2 linked regions of the Saccharomyces cerevisiae S288C genome follow. Changing the gene in region 1 together with any one later gene gives a genetic interaction. Each region holds a gene or a part of one and is shown on either strand. Other genes may lie near its edges.

What was found.
Region 2: mutations in YPL034W (region 1) and ESC1 together harm fitness more than expected from each alone (negative genetic interaction), as found in Saccharomyces cerevisiae (2 studies listed by BioGRID).

The regions. Positions count from the first base shown.
Region 1 is NC_001148.4:479,110-489,630, forward strand, and holds YPL034W (uncharacterized protein), read left to right. Parts: upstream 1-7,602; coding exon 7,603-8,100; downstream 8,101-10,521. Other genes in the region: YPL039W (uncharacterized protein), read left to right, coding at 116-1,066; YPL038W-A (uncharacterized protein), read left to right, coding at 1,073-1,264; MET31 (Met31p), read left to right, coding at 1,426-1,959; EGD1 (Egd1p), read right to left, coding at 2,319-2,792; H(+)-exporting P2-type ATPase PMA2, read left to right, coding at 3,734-6,577; SRL4 (Srl4p), read right to left, coding at 8,253-9,098; SVL3 (Svl3p), read right to left, coding at 9,778-10,521.
Region 2 is NC_001145.3:705,464-714,317, reverse strand, and holds ESC1 (Esc1p), read right to left. Parts: upstream 7,186-8,854; coding exon 2,209-7,185; downstream 1-2,208. Other genes in the region: FMP42 (Fmp42p), read left to right, coding at 1-387; ERG8 (phosphomevalonate kinase), read right to left, coding at 647-2,002; transport protein particle complex II subunit TRS130, read left to right, coding at 7,431-8,854. UniProt on the Saccharomyces cerevisiae protein: Involved in the clustering of telomeres at the nuclear periphery, forming discrete subcompartments that accumulate a complex of histone-binding silencing factors like SIR4. Required for SIR4-mediated anchoring and partitioning of plasmids.

The sequences.
Region 1 (10,521 bases):
GACATTTTCAGAACAGGATTTTATTGTTTTTAAAGTACATTATATGGGGCGACACATCATCGCCATCTATGTTAAATATTTAAAGAATACGGGGTAGAATTATTCACGCTGGGGGATGCTGAAAGAGGAGTATAATTTGAGCGGTGCTGATAACATGGCATCTGCTGAGTTGTCATTTAAAAAGCAAAAAGTGGTATTGAAAAAGTTCATGATAGCGCAAGTGACTAAGGGGATTATGCAGCGGTATGCGAGCCTATTAGTTACCATGCCTAGTGATGATGACAATGCAATTATTGGCACAAATCATTTGAAAACAACCAAATTTTTAGAAATAATCCTACACAGAGCCAAATCATCGCATTTACAGTTCAAAAAGGTCTGTTGCATTGTCATCAAGTTTCTAGATTGCTGCTCGAAGGAAACTAACTACATGAAGTTTTTAAAGTTCAGCTTACACAAACTATTTGTAGCTGCTTTCATCTTAAGTGTGCCAAATGTTGTAGGCGATGACCGCGACAGGATTACCACGAGGGATGAAACCTATCATCTCTATTCCCAGATAACAGGCTTGCCACTGGAAGAAGTGATAAATTGTTGTTCTATTGTGAGGCCTGTACTTATTCGGCGGAGTAGACAACAACGCAGGCAAATGTTATCTCGACGTGAACAACATTCGTACTTCCTCAGAAGTTCTTTTATGAACTCCAATTCATCAGCATCACCTTTTTTCTCTACCAATAGGTCAGCTGATGATCTACATGTACATACAAGGGCATACTCGCTTCATAGCCATTCCGATGGGGAAGGCCAAGATAGGCGGTCGGAACATGAAGAAACGCATAGCATGGGGGCTGATGCCGATACATATCGACAAACTACGTTTATCCCAGACACACCAAATGGTTTGCATTCTAGATCATTAATTGAGTGTGGGATCGAACCCACCCAAGTAAGTGACTCTGGTGAATGGTCGGGTCAAAGTAACGGATATGTTTTGGTGACAGAATTACAGGAGTTTAACAAAATGGGTAAAAAGTTAGTACAAGAAGCTTTTAGGATAGTTTAATAAAGTATGGTTTGTCGTTTTGTTCATCATTCAAGGGTCATTTTTATTTCCATTTATGATTTCTTGAGTACAAAAGGCAAAAAAAACATGTATAATTATACACAAGAAAAAAAAACAAAACAAAAGAACACTTTCACACAAGCAAGTATATATTATGAGAATTTTTTCGAGTCTTACAGAACCATATCTTGCCTCTAAATTTTAGTCTAAAAATTTTGCTAGCCCATCAATTTTTTTTTTGTTCTAATGCAAAATATAACATGGGTAAGAAAAAGAAAAAGCCGTTCCTCAGTACGTAAAGAGATTTGATCATTAACAAGTTGGGCTCAATATACACAGTCGATAGTCTATATGTGCATATGAAACTGGCGCAAGACATGAATGTAGATGAAATATTTCTCAAACAAGCGGCAGAAGCTATAGCGGTAATCTCATCAAGTCCCACTCATACGGACCCCATAATACGAGAGCTACTCCACAGAATTCGACAATCCAGCCCATTGAGCGCAGTTATACCAGCACCAGAAAATGTTTTAAAGGCTGGGGAGCCGGAAAATATGGCTAGAGGTCTTATAAGGATTCCAGAAACACAAACAAAAAGAACAGGAGGTAACAACCATAGCAAGGAAGGCGCACAGCTCTACAGCTGTGCGAAATGTCAGTTGAAATTCAGCAGAAGTTCTGATCTGAGAAGACATGAAAAGGTACACTCACTCGTGCTGCCGCATATTTGCTCAAACTGTGGCAAAGGGTTTGCCAGGAAGGATGCTCTAAAAAGACATTCTAACACACTGACCTGTCAAAGAAACAGAAAGAAACTAAGTGAAGGTTCAGACGTTGATGTAGATGAGCTCATCAAGGATGCGATAAAGAATGGTACCGGCCTGTTGTAAGGCTAGAGGAAAACGTATTTGTCTCCATCAGCACACCTACACATACATATATAGATAGATATATACTTTAGCCATTGAGATAAGTAGAATAAAAAAACGTTGTAATATTCCGATACAGTTAGTGACATGTTCTCTACTTTTGCCAATTTTTTGCGCACAAAGTGGTGACGTACAAGTTCATCATTTCACGTGTGCAGCATAGTGTGGTATATTGTTTTTTTATATTTTATTTTTTATTTTTTTTTTTTTGCAGAAAACAGTGTTTGTATTATATGCTTTAGATATGCTAAAAAAAATGAAAAAAAATGGAACAAAATATGTGTTTTTTTATTTAACGTTAAAATTAAAGATTAAGTTATTTATTCGACGTCAGCATCAAAAGTTTGACCTTCAACTAACTCTGGAATAGCTTCATCCTTCTTTTCAGCATCAGCTGGAGCCTTGGCTTCGTGCTTTTCCATTTGGGCAGCCAATTGAGACAAGGCTTGGATGGCTTCAGGGCCCAATTGAGAGATAATACCTGGGAACAAATCTTGCAAGTTCTTTTCCTGTGGTAGACCGTAGAATACAGAAGTGTTGTGTTGAGCAGCAACTTGGACACCGACCTTGTTGAAGTGCATGACCTTACCGTCGTCCTTGAAAAAGTTGGCTTCGGCGACGTTGTCAATGGTGACAGCGTGCAACTTAGCTAATTGACTTTGCAACTTGGTGTCATCCTTGTTGGCACCGGCAGAAGAGCCTGCCTTCTTGTTAAGCTTTCTTCTAGTACCACCAACTTTGTTGTTAGCAGACAACTTTTGTAGCTTAGCTAATTTTTCTTGGTCAATTGGCATTATGAATTATGAGTCGCGTCTGGTGTGAGATGTTCTATTCTTAAACCTCCCTAGAAAGAATATTCGCTCTCTTGTGACAAAGGAGGGGTTACTACTTAACAAGCAATTGCAGCTGTTTCCACTACGAAATCTTCCAATGTCAACGAAAAAAATTCAAAAATTTTCTGCTTTTTTTTTCAACATCTGCCGTACTAAATGATTCCACAATAATCCATCATATACCATTACCCTGATTCCCATCGAAGAAAAGGCGGTGTCCCCTTACCCGTCCGCTCATGCCAAGAGATTAATTCATAACCGCTCTTCCTTGGATCAGAAGTGAACATATGAAGTTGCAACTACTACATACTTACTACCGTAGTCCATCATCAAGGACCCAAACATTCACGACTCCAGCGCGCCACGTTCTTCGCCATACTGCTTAACATTTTGGTACGAGTGCGAATTAGGGAAGTCGATGATAAAATAGAATATGCGAAAAAGAGGAAGAGCAGCCGTGAGAAAAAAGAAAAAAAAAGGCCTAAGGTATTCTCTACTCCAAAATCGTCGAGGGAGGGCAAAAGAAATTTTTTTTGTTTAAGGGAATTGCGAAGTCAATTGATTGATGAAGTAGCTTCTCTGGAAAAATGGCGGACAGACGCTGCTCAAATAACCGTCGAAGGGGGAAAGGTTATCGGTGGAAACATATTTGTAAGTACATAATAGTGAATTTACTTCTTGTCGGCGTCCCCTAAACGTAATTGGCGGTGTGATGGTACTTCGTTATATAAAGGTGTGTAATATCCTCTTTTACCATCTATTATTTCTTCCAGCATTTCTTGCTGGATAACCTACTGTATCCAAGCTACTGGGCTTTTTTAAACATACCCATAACTTTTTTTTTTTCATTTTTCGTTGCTGTGTGCTAGTACAATTTAAGCAAAAGGAAACTGTTTTGCGTTATGTCTTCCACTGAAGCAAAGCAATACAAGGAGAAACCCTCGAAAGAGTACCTCCATGCCAGTGATGGCGATGACCCTGCAAATAATTCTGCCGCTTCTTCGTCATCTTCGTCTTCTACATCAACTTCCGCCTCGTCATCGGCTGCAGCCGTTCCACGGAAGGCCGCAGCCGCTTCTGCCGCTGATGATTCTGACTCAGATGAAGATATAGACCAATTGATTGATGAACTACAATCTAACTACGGTGAGGGTGATGAATCTGGTGAAGAAGAAGTACGTACTGATGGGGTGCACGCTGGCCAAAGGGTTGTTCCTGAAAAGGACCTTTCTACGGACCCTGCGTATGGTTTGACTTCGGATGAAGTCGCCAGGAGAAGAAAGAAATATGGGTTAAATCAAATGGCTGAGGAGAATGAATCGTTGATTGTGAAGTTTTTGATGTTCTTCGTAGGGCCTATTCAATTCGTTATGGAGGCTGCTGCTATTTTGGCTGCCGGTTTGTCTGATTGGGTTGATGTCGGTGTCATCTGTGCTTTACTGCTATTAAACGCATCTGTCGGATTTATTCAAGAATTCCAGGCAGGTTCCATCGTAGACGAGCTGAAAAAGACGTTGGCCAATACTGCAACAGTTATTAGAGATGGCCAATTGATCGAAATTCCGGCTAATGAGGTAGTTCCTGGTGAGATTTTGCAATTGGAAAGTGGCACAATTGCTCCCGCAGATGGTCGTATTGTCACTGAAGACTGTTTTTTGCAGATCGATCAATCGGCCATCACTGGTGAATCCTTAGCCGCTGAAAAGCATTACGGTGATGAGGTGTTCTCCTCATCCACTGTGAAAACCGGCGAGGCTTTTATGGTTGTTACTGCCACTGGTGACAATACCTTCGTCGGTAGGGCTGCCGCCTTAGTGGGGCAGGCTTCCGGTGTAGAGGGCCATTTCACTGAAGTATTGAATGGAATTGGTATTATCTTACTTGTTCTAGTTATCGCTACTTTGTTGTTGGTCTGGACCGCATGTTTCTATAGAACGGTCGGTATTGTAAGCATTTTGAGATATACTTTGGGTATAACCATCATTGGTGTCCCAGTCGGTTTGCCAGCAGTTGTTACCACGACCATGGCTGTCGGTGCAGCTTACTTGGCTAAGAAGCAAGCCATTGTTCAAAAGTTATCTGCTATTGAATCCCTTGCTGGTGTTGAGATTTTATGTTCTGACAAGACTGGTACTTTAACCAAAAACAAGTTATCTTTACACGAACCCTACACTGTCGAAGGCGTTTCTCCGGACGACTTGATGTTGACCGCTTGTTTAGCTGCCTCTAGAAAGAAGAAAGGTTTGGATGCTATTGATAAGGCTTTTTTGAAGTCATTGATTGAGTATCCAAAAGCTAAAGACGCCCTGACCAAGTACAAAGTTTTGGAATTCCATCCGTTCGACCCTGTCTCAAAAAAGGTTACCGCTGTTGTAGAATCCCCAGAAGGTGAAAGAATTGTTTGTGTCAAGGGAGCCCCATTGTTTGTCTTGAAGACTGTTGAAGAAGATCACCCAATTCCGGAAGATGTGCATGAAAACTACGAAAATAAGGTTGCTGAACTAGCTTCTAGAGGTTTCCGTGCTTTAGGTGTTGCTAGAAAGAGAGGGGAAGGTCACTGGGAAATCTTGGGTGTTATGCCATGTATGGACCCCCCTAGAGATGACACCGCTCAAACAATCAATGAGGCCAGAAACCTTGGTTTGAGAATCAAGATGTTAACCGGTGACGCTGTTGGTATCGCGAAAGAAACGTGTAGGCAATTAGGACTTGGTACAAACATTTATAACGCAGAAAGGTTAGGTCTGGGAGGTGGAGGTGATATGCCTGGTTCAGAGTTGGCTGATTTTGTTGAAAATGCCGATGGTTTCGCAGAAGTTTTCCCACAGCATAAATACAGAGTCGTTGAAATCTTGCAAAACAGAGGTTACTTGGTTGCTATGACTGGTGATGGTGTTAACGATGCCCCATCTTTGAAGAAGGCTGATACTGGTATTGCTGTCGAAGGTGCTACCGATGCTGCCAGATCAGCCGCTGATATTGTTTTCTTGGCCCCTGGTCTCTCTGCTATTATTGATGCCTTAAAGACTTCTAGACAGATTTTCCACAGAATGTACTCCTATGTTGTTTATCGTATTGCCCTATCCTTACATTTGGAGATTTTCCTGGGTTTATGGATTGCTATTTTAAACAACTCTTTGGATATCAATTTGATCGTTTTTATTGCTATTTTCGCAGACGTTGCCACTTTAACTATTGCTTATGACAATGCTCCTTATGCTCCTGAACCTGTGAAATGGAACCTACCAAGATTATGGGGTATGTCTATTATTTTGGGCATAGTTTTAGCTATAGGTTCTTGGATTACTTTAACCACCATGTTCTTGCCTAATGGTGGTATTATCCAAAATTTTGGTGCCATGAATGGTGTCATGTTCCTGCAGATTTCACTAACTGAAAATTGGTTAATTTTTGTCACTAGAGCTGCTGGCCCATTCTGGTCTTCCATTCCATCGTGGCAGTTAGCCGGTGCCGTTTTCGCCGTTGATATTATTGCTACCATGTTTACCTTATTTGGCTGGTGGTCTGAAAACTGGACTGATATTGTGTCAGTCGTTCGTGTCTGGATTTGGTCCATTGGTATTTTTTGTGTATTGGGAGGATTTTACTATATTATGTCCACGTCTCAAGCCTTTGATAGGTTGATGAATGGTAAGTCATTAAAGGAAAAGAAGTCTACAAGAAGTGTCGAAGATTTCATGGCTGCTATGCAAAGAGTTTCTACTCAACACGAAAAAAGCAGTTAGTAATTTTAAACATCATCCATCTGATTTTTTTTCTTATTGATCTCCTTTTTGTTATTCCTCATTTTCATTTCAATTTGTCGATACCAAGGAAGCCAAGACGTTATAAAAGAACACGGTCAACAAAAATCAAATTAATGCCTCTTCAATTGTGCTCTGTTTGATACCTTCGATATGATGTTACAGTTTTAAAGTTTACACACAAGTTTTTAGACTAAGTGGCATCATATCTGTCAATTTTATCACACACACACACACACACACACACAAACAAACATATCCACATATCAGAAGTAGGCCGATCTTTTGCTTGATTGGATGCAAATTCATATGGAAAATTTTTTTCATATTATTTCGTGTTCTTTTGACTATTTTCCTCTCCAAAAAGGAAGAATCATTCCAATAACAACACACGAATTCCCATCCAACATGGTGAAATGACTAAATATTTTTTTTTTCGAAACATTAAATCAATCTAATTCTTAATTTTTAATAAACATATAATGCACACTTATTTACATACAAGCACATTGCACGTATTATATCAGTTTCTTCTTTTATGTTGATATATTTTTCTAATAATGTTATTATCATGTAGTCGTGTATGTGCGCCTCTCCCGCGAGAAGTCCAACACCATAAGAAATCAAATGTCAAGAGAAATAAAGAATTGTTTCCCATCATAGATAAGACTATATCAGAAAAGTGCTCATCAAAGCTAAATCTATTATGAGATGTCTTAGGCATAACAAAAAAGGGAGAGCGGTGCAAGATAAACATACCGTCGGATAAAAAGTACTGTCATTATCATCAGTGGCAAGATGCAAGGTACACACGGGCACCAAGAGATAATGCGCAAAATAAACCGGGTTTTATTTACATCTATACATACAGTAACCTCTTTGAATCATACATATCTGAAAAGACGGTAGATTTAAAATGGCTATTTATTGATGAGTCAATAGTTCGGACTAATGGTAAAAAGAAGAGACAATGGGTAGACAGAGACTTTATTCTATGTAAGATAGGAATGACCACTCGAAAAACAGTAGATTCAAGACTTTTAGAATGGCAAACCACATGCAAGCATCCAGTGATAAACTTGACTCCAGAGAAAGTCGATAAATTATACCACTTGAAATTGAAAAGTGAAAGCAAAAATATCAGTTCAAACAGGCTATTGCCCATTTCATTATCAAGCTTACAAAAAAAAATGGAGAAACTTTTCATCAAAGATAAAAGTCACTCACACAAGCCTTCCCTTCCAGATCCTAAGGTGCCAACCCTACGCACTTATAAAGATGGTGGATTTTTCATTAGCGGAAAAGGTTCAATGAAACTACCAGATATCGAAAGCGCTATTCATAAATTTTTATGGAAGAAATACGGGAAAGGATTGGTTTACTGTTATGGGTGTGATCCAACTGGAAAAAAGAGGCATACAGAGTGGTTCAATGTGCCTGTATTGGAGCTACCATCAGTACTAAGACTTATTGATTCTTATTGCCTTGGAGGAGAATCTCGTTAGACTTAAAAAAAATTTTTTGGCCTATTCTGGCCGGTTTATTCAAATTATTTATCATCATAAAAATTGTAGTGTTACCTTTCTTTTCCTTGAATTATTTATAGAAATATATGTGCTTAGCAATTTTATCACTGTTACTTCGATTTGTAGTACCCTTAAGTAAAAGAGCTTTTGAAACCAGTTATCAAAAGAATATCACCAATTGATCTTTTGCTTTCGAGAATTGTATCACCATATCTTCCCTCAAGTAGACAGTGGACGAGATGTTTCGAGATACTCGGGGAAAGTCTCTTCCAATGTGCTTCACTTTCAAAACTGGGTAAATATGCAATCAGCGTTTTTACATTCAAATTACTATCTTTCAATTTAAGCTCTGAGGTTATTCCATCGTGGAAAGAGTTTATACCACATTTCGATGTAATAAAATGTGTTCCTGATTTGCACGGTTTTAACGTCAATACCGATGATATGTTGACAATATAGAACCCCTTTGCTTTTTCTTGAGCTTCAGCTTGAACCTTTGGAAAAATGTTACTCAAGCAGAACTTAGTTATCAATATTACACTTTGTAAATTATACCTCACGATTTTCTCGAATTCATTTAAAGACTCTTCATCAAGTCTCAAAAATTTGTCTTCTTTGAGAAGAGTCGATTCGATTCCCTCCTGCATGTTGTTAATGAGCACTGTAGGAATTATTTCTAAATTTTGAAGGTAAAGCATGGATTCCTCAAGACATTTTATGTCACTGAAATCTTTGCAAGAAATAAAAGTATACAGTTTTTCACTTCTCCTTGCGTTTTTTCCATTAATACTGTCTATAGTGTCAATATTTATAACCTTTGTATGATAATCTTCTATAAATGTCTCGCAGAGCTCGATGCCTAACTCATTTGAAGAACCGCCAATAATTAATACTGTATCGTGGCTAGGATGGAACTTTTTACCTAAACCGACATATTGATAAAAACTTACGAGGACTTTGTAAATTGTTTTCTTCATGTCAGATTTTTGGGCTCTATTACTAGTGGACCTGTGCTTCGGACATACGCAGTTTTTCTGTGGTTTCTTTATACGTCACAAATCTGTATTATTATTGAGTCACTAATTCAAATGCGTGTGACAATATAGCGACGGGGCCGTGCAAAAATAAGAGATACTGCACTTGCGCGGCTGATAGAGATTTCTTTCTTTCTACGCTGGGATAGTTTTCTTAGAAGGTTTTAGCTATTCTAATTAAAATGTTGTTCCCACCAGTATTTATTGGCACCTTGGACAATTTTAAAAATCACTGCTAAAACGGTGCTATGACACGATTTTCTGGTACTAAAACGTGTTTTATGAAATTAACAGTATATACAAAAAGTAAAAGGTATGGATAGTTAAATATGTGTAAAGCTATAATACAAAGAAATAACACAAGATAGTTGAGTTTATTTGGTCAAACTAAAAAGAGGAAATAATTATAGTGAATAATTCCAGATTTTGTTAAACACCAATTCAAACAAACTGAAAACAGGGAGAAACCAACCCAAAAAATAAAATAGATTCAGTGATAACCCAATTCTACCGCAAAAAAAAACTAAAAAAATAAATAATAGAAAATTAACAGATACAAAAACGAAAAAACAAACTGTTTACAAAACATTTACATGCGTGTTCATTAAGCTGTCGAAGGATATTATTTCTTTGATTTATTTTTTTTTTTGAATAGGCCAAATCTCTTCTTCTTACCACCATTTTTCTCCTCATTGTCACCATTATCGGTACTAGGCGAAGCCATATTCGCCATTTGACTTGATGAGGACAAGGTTGGAGTGCTTGGGGCTGAAACAGAGGTTGTAGGAGGGGGTGCAATATTTTTGGGATCGTTTATATCCACAGTGCTACTTGTATTGTTGTTTGTATTTGTAAATTGCATTGCGTTATGAACTACCGAGTTGGTGGAAATATCAGGGTTGCTACTACTGTTATTAACTTTGTTGTTATTATTTGTAACTTCTATCATGGTACTGGAGCTAAATTGCCTTTGTGTGGGAACGTGATTGTTTAAACTAGGAGCAGGGACTTGGTTAAAAGTATTGTTTGGGTTGGTGGCATGTGGCATATTCAGTTTGTTTTTCGATTGTTGTGATCTCAATCTATTCTGGTTTACGATGCTATGCGTTGGCATGGAATTTAAGCGAGTTTGACTTGAATTGTTCGGTGGTCTGCCAAAATCACTCATATTTATACTGGAAGGATTACCAATATTAGGCATATTACTATTTCTATTCTTCCTACTTGTGGGCTTGATAGAGTGTGAGTGAAAAGGTTGTACTTGTACCGATTGTTGTGGCTGCTGTAGGGGTAAGGAAGGAGGTTGTTGCGGGTCATATGCAGCGATACTTGAAGAAATTGGGTCTACAAAATTTCCGGCGGATGC
Region 2 (8,854 bases), on another chromosome or scaffold:
TTGTTCACCACTTCTACCGCTATAGGTGTTTTTGGCTTGATTCCAAATTCATTCACTTGGAACTTAATAGGTATAGTACTTCTGGTAGTGTACAGACCATTTTATTACACAGTTGTTTCTGATTATTCTTCAAAAGTTTTTGGATTTGACACATTTGGTACTGTTTATGGGTTATTGTCCTGCATTTGTGGTATTTTCAACATGAGTCAAAACTTACTGGACAAATGGACACATACTACTTTCAACATGAATCCATTCCCAATAAACCTTACACTGGTAATCCTCACAGTCGTTTTTTCACTAACTTTAACATTTTACATACGATCTCAGATTTTGCCCAAGCCCGTGAATGAAAGAGGATTGTCCTCCAACTACCAAACTATCTGAGTGCACACTTTCAAGCTAACACGCACTTTATTTATATTTAAATGACATAAAGTTATATATCTAGAAAGTTTATTTATCGTTCTCAGTACCATCCTCATCCTAGTATGTATAGCTTGTACCCATTAAAAGAATTTTATCATGCCGCCGAAAGGAACAATTTCAAGTACTATCGGAAGATGAATGGTTAGATGTTAAGCGCTGTCACTTCAAACTTCACATTTATAAAGATGTCACATGGACCACTATTATCTACCTTAAGTTATTTATCAAGATAAGTTTCCGGATCTTTTTCTTTCCTAACACCCCAGTCAGCCTGAGTTACATCCAGCCATTGAACCTTAGAAAATCTTTTGTCATTAGCGGTTTGAGCCCTAAGATCAACATCTTGCTTAGTAATCACTGCAATGGCGTCATAACCACCAGCACCAGGTATTAAGCAAGTAAGAACTCCTTTTAAGGTCTGGCAATCATCCAATAAGCTAGTTTGTACGGGAGGTTCGATATCGGCACCAGATTCTTTAGTTATTTTTCTAAAGGAACGTCTAATTGTGGCAACTGCATCTCTAACTTCTGTGATTTCAGGATACTTTTGACAGGTACAGTCATTCCTCTCAAGAGACTCAAATATCTGATCGCTGTAATCGTCATGAGTCTCGTGTAAGCGATCTAGTTTAGATAGTCCATCCATAAATCTAGAATTTGCATGATCGAGTTCTGTATATATTTTCAAGCTTTCTGGCATATGCGAATCATACCAATTTTTTACCTTCTGGACCAGTTTTACTGTTTCTGAACCATTCTTAATATCGCCCATCCATAAAGTTAATCCCGAAGGTAAATGGTTACTTTTAATCGTAATATTCCAGTCTTCTTCATCAACCAAATGCGCCAGTTTACTGCCGTAAGTAGCACTTCCAATATCTGGCAAATTAGAGATTAATGCGGGTGGGAATCTTCTATATCTGATAGATCCATATGCTGCCGCCGCTACATCAAACCCGCTTCCAATTTTACCCTGAGCTTGACAATGAGCAACTTGTGCTAAATTATGAATAACTTCTCTATATTTGTCTACATTATTTTCCAGGTCCGATACAAAAAAGGAGGCCAAAGCTGTAGTTAAAACTGTGACTAAACCTGCCGAGGAGCCCAGCCCTGTTTTGGGAACTTCTTCAATTCTGTGCGAATGAAAACTCAATCTTCTGTTGCCACGATGTTCGGTAACGCTATCCTCCTGAGAATGGTAGGCATCATCAGAGAAAATATCAATAACGAACAAGTTTCTATTGCAGTAGTCGTCCATGTTAGGTTTAAAGTAGCTAAATACGTTAGCGATAACTTTTTCAATGAAAGGGTTCTTAGATCCGCCTATCGAAACAGGAATGAAGCCACTTTTAGGACTTATATGGTACAGCCACTCCCCATCTTTAAATTGTTTACTTTTCACACGCACTTCAAACTTATCAGACCCTTGCAATGAACCGTAAGGATGGGCTACAGCATGCATTCTTGCCGATAATCCGACTACAAATGCTTCATATTTTGTATCTAAAACTAAATATCCACCAGCTAGTAACGCTTTCCCTGGGGCACTGAAGGCTCTCAACTCTGACATTTCTCGAGGCAGCCGATTGATTTATTATGAGGCCTTCCAAGATGTTTTTTCACCTTTTTTGTTTTTCCATTCTTTATATAATCTTTCTTTCCATTCGACATGACGTTAACTCCGCCTTAAAACCGAACTTTTTTCCTTTTAGATCTCGTATAGAAAAACGCATCGCAATAATTATTACTATCTACATATTCCTGTATACAATTTGATTATTTGTCAACACTTGGATGCGTATTCTGTCCACGGCTTTTTGGCTCGTGCCCCCTACGCCTTTTAGTATTTGATGCGGCAGAACTGCCTTCTGTGATTTTTCTTTTCCGTCTTCTGCTGTTGTAGTTTCTTTTACGGCTTTTCTTTTTTGCTTTAGTTTTGTCCTTTTCGCGGTTTGTTTCCTCATCATTATTATTTTCTGGAGAACTTTTATCATTGATTAGTTCCATACTTGGTTTCTGTTCTTCAAGTACAGATTTTGAAGGCATTTCCTCCTGTTCTTCTTTAACTTCTACTTTAACAGGTATATCCACTGCTTGATGTTCGGGCTCCTCACCTTCATTTACTTTGATGTTAATGGAATTATCGTGTGGCTCATTATCAACATCGTGGCTAGATAAATGTTCTGATCTATCATCCAAAACGGATGTTACATTGGTTTTATCGTGTTTCTCAAGCGTGGTGGCGGGAATTTCATCATTAATTTCCATAGGGACTTCATTTGGCGTGTCTGAGAATATTTCATACACTTCCGGTGATGTTGGCGCACTCTTTTCAGCGGTAATATTTTCCGAATTTGAATAGGGATAAGAATCTGTCACTTCTTCCTTATCAGACGGAGGATCAGATGGAAGATCTGTGGACGGTATATTTCCGCGTTGCCTTTCATCATCATTCATTTTACTAGAAGCTGCTGTCTCTGTAGGGCCCTCTATTTCCAATTCGTACAACTCAGCTTCTTCTGGCTCTGAATTTAGTTCTTCTATTGACCTCTCCTGATTGTTTGATAGGTCCAGGTCTTCTTCATGTTCGGGGTGTTGAATGCTAATATCTAACTCCGAAAAAGTGTCTTCTTCAATTGCTCCAGCATATTTCTCATTAACGGACTTTTCAAACGTGAGATCCCGTTCACGGCTTGTATTAACTTCGTCTGATTCTTCTTGATTTTTTCCTCTCCTGGAATCTTCAATGAGCCTCTGAGAATAATTCTCTAGGTCACTTAGATTCTTTAGGAGTTGTTGTCTCTTAATATCATCGGGGGCATTACTGTGAATATTTGCTGATGTTATATCTCCATATATGGTATCAAATTCTTCTTCATTCTCGCTGTGGTCTTTCTTTTCGAAATGTTGCTCGGATTGTAAACCTTCAACTAGCGGCTCTTCCGACTTATGCAAATTTTCCTTGTCCTTTACTTGCTGTCGAAACACTTCGGAGTCCTCTTCATAAGCACCGTTTGTCGTGGGATCGATGTTTATCACACGAGAATTATTACCATTGTCATTATGTGCTTCTGCGGTAACTCCTCCGAGTATGACAGCTTCATCTTCATCGCTGTCTCTCTCTTTGCTACTTACACTTTTCATATTAACAGATGCATCGGTAGAATTCGACTTGTTAAAAATGTCTTGATTATAATCACCAATATCAACGTTATCATCACTCTCAGAATCCATAACATCAATTTTTTTCACGAATGATTCAGCTACGTCGACTACCTTACCCACTCCCTTAACTACAGCTCCAATAACACGAATTGGGGATGAAAAAATATTTGATCGATCAGATTCTGGCTTCAATGGTTCCACAGACTCAATTTCCGAACTGGACACCCGAATGTCCAAATTATGTTTTGCAGATCCCTCAACATTTTTTTCAGCTGTGGAGTCTTGGTCTCGGTCTGAATCAGAGCAAGCTTGGCTAACCTGATCATGCATATTGGTATTATTTTCCAGGGCTTTTGTGTTTTCAATGGTAGTTGCTCTTCTTTCAAAGAGCACTTCGTTGTGCGTTTTTTCCACGCACGACCTTTCTGGGATCTCCATATTATTTCCAATCGCATTCTCATCTATTCTTTCGATAATGGAAATGTGTGCTTCCTCCGTATCTGTATTCTGGATATAGTATTTTCTTTCACCAGCTTCGTAATTCGCTTGCGCCTCTTGATTGATGACGTCGGTGTGCATGTCTTTGTTCTGAACATTTACGGATGAACTGACATTGGCTTCGAAAAGTGTTTCTTCTTCGTGCACCTTATTAACTTTTTCATTTTCTGGTTCTACTATTCCGAGAGTATCCTTTTTTGTACCTTTAACTATATTTTCATTACTGCCTTCATCATTGCCTGGTTCTGGATCCGCATAATCTTGTTCATATGAATCCTCACTTTCCTCTTCATCAAGCTTATCAACTACTTCAGCTTTTGTAAGTTCCTTCTTGAGTGATTCGTCGTCTTCAAGATCACTATTTCTTACTTTATATTTAGTAGAAGAGAATTCAGTGTTGTCGTTGCTTTCTTGAAAATTGTCTGGCGAATCTGTTGAAAACGAAATTTGAGTTTTACTACCATCATCATTCTGTTTTACGCATTCATCGCCAGAAGACATCTCAGCTTCGTTCATATCCTTTTCACAGTATCTTAAATTTTCTTCTACATTTGAAGCCGTTTCAATTATGTCCTCGCAGGAAGAGTCTCCTGTAACGTTGGTATAATTAATCGCTGAAAAGTACTTTTCATCCGTGTTATCTTCAGTTGACTTGTCAGTACTGTTAGCCACGCCTGGAAAATTTTTACTTTGATTTTTATTTTCATCACCTGTATTTTCATTTTCAAAAGTAACGTTTTCCGTAGATTCATCCAAATCGCTCACCTGTTTAGTTTCCTTACTTGTGTGAAAAATGTTTGTGTGCCCAGATGTAGATGTCAAGCATGATTTCGTCACTCCAGCTTCCACAAATTCTGCATCCTTTTTGGTGAAAGCTGGGGCAAGGGCTGCTAACGTTGATTTCAGTAGGTCATGCTTCTTTTCGTAATCATCGTTCAACGAATTGAATGGGTCATTCATAAATGGTGAAGTGTACTCCACTTGCGGTGGCATGGCAACTGTGTTATCTTCGTAAGAAGTAGAACTATACACAGATTCAGAAATTACTACTTCATATTTCGGAGTTGTTTTGATTTCCATAAGAGGAACATCGGTAAGATTCTCTGATATAGCATCAGCGTCATCGAGTGAATAATAGATACTGTCTTCATTTCCTAATGATGAATTGTTAATCGTAGTATCTGTGGATAGTGGTACCAGTTCTTTTTCTGTAGAACCGTCCAGTTTCTTTTCAGAAACTTTTTCAACCTCTATTTCAACAGAAGATGAAAGATCACCTCGGTCTGTTTTTAAATTATTATTGTTTTCACCTGTGAAGTCCTTTAGGGGTATTTGCTCTTCGGATTCGTCTAAAGACCTGCCCGATAAGTTGCTTCCATTTGAGTGCCCTAAATAAGATTCGGATACCTGCTCCTCTTTTTGAGGGCAGTTCGAATTTCTACTTTGTTGGAATTGAAGCATAGCCCTTGCGGCGAGATCATACAAATTATCAGGGGAATGCTCGTGCAAATCACTTTCGACACTTTTTCCTGTTACGTCATAACCTTCAACATCGTTAATTTGATTTTCTCTTTCTACTATAGCAGGATCAGTTTCATTCTCCAAAACATTTTCCGAGTATTCACTTTTGTTGTTGTTTCCGTGAAAATTTTTGTCTAGAGAGCTTCTGATAATGTCATCTTTTTCAGGTTCTTCGTCATTTTCCTGTTGTTCCACTTTGTTCTTAGTATAAGCATCTTTAGCGAAACCTTGGTCTCTGCTTTCGCTGGTATTCTCAGTTTCTTCTGACGTGCTTTTTTCGTTTTTCATTTTATATTCAAAATCATCTTCACTTCCTTGTTCGCTTTCTTGTGCACTTTGGGATTCACTATCTGAAGATTCTATATCTTCTATTAGTTCCTTATCATCCAGTTCATGTTCATTATGGTGGTACACATTTTCAGCATTTGCTGAGTAACTTTCAGCTTGACTTTCTTCATCCTCGGACTCATCGTCAACTGAAATATTTACTGAACCGAAATCAAATGCACCGTCTTCTGAATATCTTTGATGGACTTTGTGCTCATCAGATTCATATTTTTCGATAACGGGGATCTTAGTATTATCTGTTCTAGGCTGCATGTATTTTGAAAAATCTACCGAATGTTCTGTTCCTTCTGCACCCTGACTTTCATCTTTTTCAGCATCGCTTTCCACATCAATGTCGTCTTCTAATTCCATTTCTACTCCCTCTGAATAATTCTGTCCTTCACTGGAATCAGAAGAACTAATTTGTGTAGCATTCTCTACATTTGCCTGTTCTTGCCCTATATTCTTTCTCTCAACTTGCCCCTCCTCTTCGGCATATTCATCATTCGATACATCTTGTAGTGCTCCTTCCTCTGCATATTCTTCATCTGATAATATCATTATTGAAGGACTACTTTGGCCGTCACTATTCTTTTCTTCTTCAGAGAGCTCGTATTCATCATTTTCAAGATCGAAATCTTTGATTAAAGATTGTTTACCTTCCAGATCTTCATCCTTATCGGAGTCGATATTTGAGGACGACTCGTCCTCAGCGTCCGGTAAGGGAGAACTTATGAAACTATCTAAGGGAATTTCATCATTATTTTGGAAAGAAGTATCCGTTCCGTATTGGCTCTTCCTGAGATCGATTAGTCGCTGATGAGATTTACTGTTTCCTGTGTACTTGTTCATTAAAGAGTCATGAAGCTGAAAACGTTGTCTTTCCTCCTCAAGACTACGCTCAAACAAGGCATCTTCCTTTTCTAGTGTAGTAAGTATACTTTTCCCCCTATTAATTAGAGAATCTACCCAGCTTAATGCCCTCGCACTATCTTCATGAAGGGATTTATTATGAATATGACTGCTTCGCCTGGAGGAAATAGATTCATGTAAAGTCGAGTGCTGAGTAGGCTTTGCTACTCTGTATTTATCATTGTGGACCCTTGAGTACCCATGTTGATCTTTCATTTTGGAATCCTCGTCCGCGTCAAGGAGAGATGACAGTATTTTCAGTTTTCTTCTTGGGGTCGTCAGTTTAAGTTTATTTGCCCTTGGAGTAAAGGTTTCTTTTTTTTTTGACATATTTTCACAGTATAGATTTATTGGTTCTTGTACTTAACCCCTTGGTGAATTTACAACGTGTTCAATATACTTGTCAATAGGACTAAAGACTTTCTCGCATTTTAAATTCCTTTGTTTTCACTTCTTAAGAACAGCTCGCGGAACATGAAAATGGTGAAAAGTGCAAGTTAGAAGTTTTGAAAGAAAGTGAGCATAAAAGCAATAAAAATAGCCAGTGAACTTGCTTTTACATGCTAATATAGTAGATGGATAAAGAAATATATTGTGGATCGGTTCCTGTCAGCTATTTTGACCCGTTTGATTTATTTGAGAGTCTGAGGCCAGAGTTTCAGCAGATTTTACCGTTAGACAATATACATTGGAAGGCATTTGACGGAACTGTACGAACGGTTAACAGGCTTCCAATTGAATTGATTCCAGAAGGTAGAGGGGAGGCAGACAAGTCTAATGATGAACAGCCGTTTATCAGATTTTTGATAGTGAACTGTATCTCTATCGACCAATACAGGGCCAAAGTACGGCCTCTTGTGAGACAGTGGCTACCAAATCTGGAATCTGTATCTTCATCGACAGGAGAAAAAATGATTTATAAACCAATTATTTTACTGTATGCCAATTCTGAAGTAGTGGACTCTAACCTATTCAAATCGGTATCCCTAATGGAGAAATTTGGCAAAGACTTTCCGCATGTACAAACTTTGGAAGTTCGATCGGTTTATAGATCTCCCAAAGAAAGGCAGGAGTTTTGGAACCAATTTAGCCAAAAGATTAAGGCTTCCGTACTGAGCATCTTTCAAAAACGATTGACACATTTGCAACATTCGTTGGCCAATTTACAAAAAGGAAATAACTTTGAGGAACAGCTTTTGACAAGAGAAAAATTGTACGAGTTATATGTGGTATTCAATATTTTGGAAGATGCCAGCCTGGAATTGCAAAAAATCAAAAAAGAAATACTCCGTAGAAACATGAATATGCCGGATGGAAAACTTCAGGTACCTTTTGAATCATCTTCTAAATCAGATGAATCACTGGGCTCCATAATAATAGAAGGTACACTCGATAAGTTTCAATTGCATAAGTATTTTTTCATTAGAAGGTTAAGACTTCTAAAACTAGAGGACCAGACGTTGACCGCCTTTGTAGGAGCATTTCAACTAATCAAGAATTTTATTGAATCCATATCAATAGAGTATAGAAAGTCTGTGAGATTATTGGAATTTAAGCACTATTTTATAACTTCGATGCTGTCATATTTTGAATTTGAGAATGTCTCAAATCCTCTCTTGTGTGAAATCAAAGCTGAGTTATTAATGTTGAAGCGCGACAACTGGGTGCAAGGTGTTATGGCTACAAGTGGTTATAGACTAATGGACAAAAACTACCCTAATAGTGACGTTAAATACAAATTTGATCTATTAAAAGAAACTTTTGTCGATGAAACTGTCTTCCAAGAAAACTTCCTTACTCTCACCAAAGAAATTCTTTCTCTCTTCAACAAATGTGAAGGGAAGCGTCAAAGGATAGTAGATATTTTATCCATTGAGATAGGTTTGCTTTACTATCAGGGAAAGAAATATGAGGAGGCAGTCTCGCTTTTCCTTTCCTGTTACGAATATTATACTCAAACGAACTGGAATAGCATTGGTTTGAAAATATTGCAAGTTTT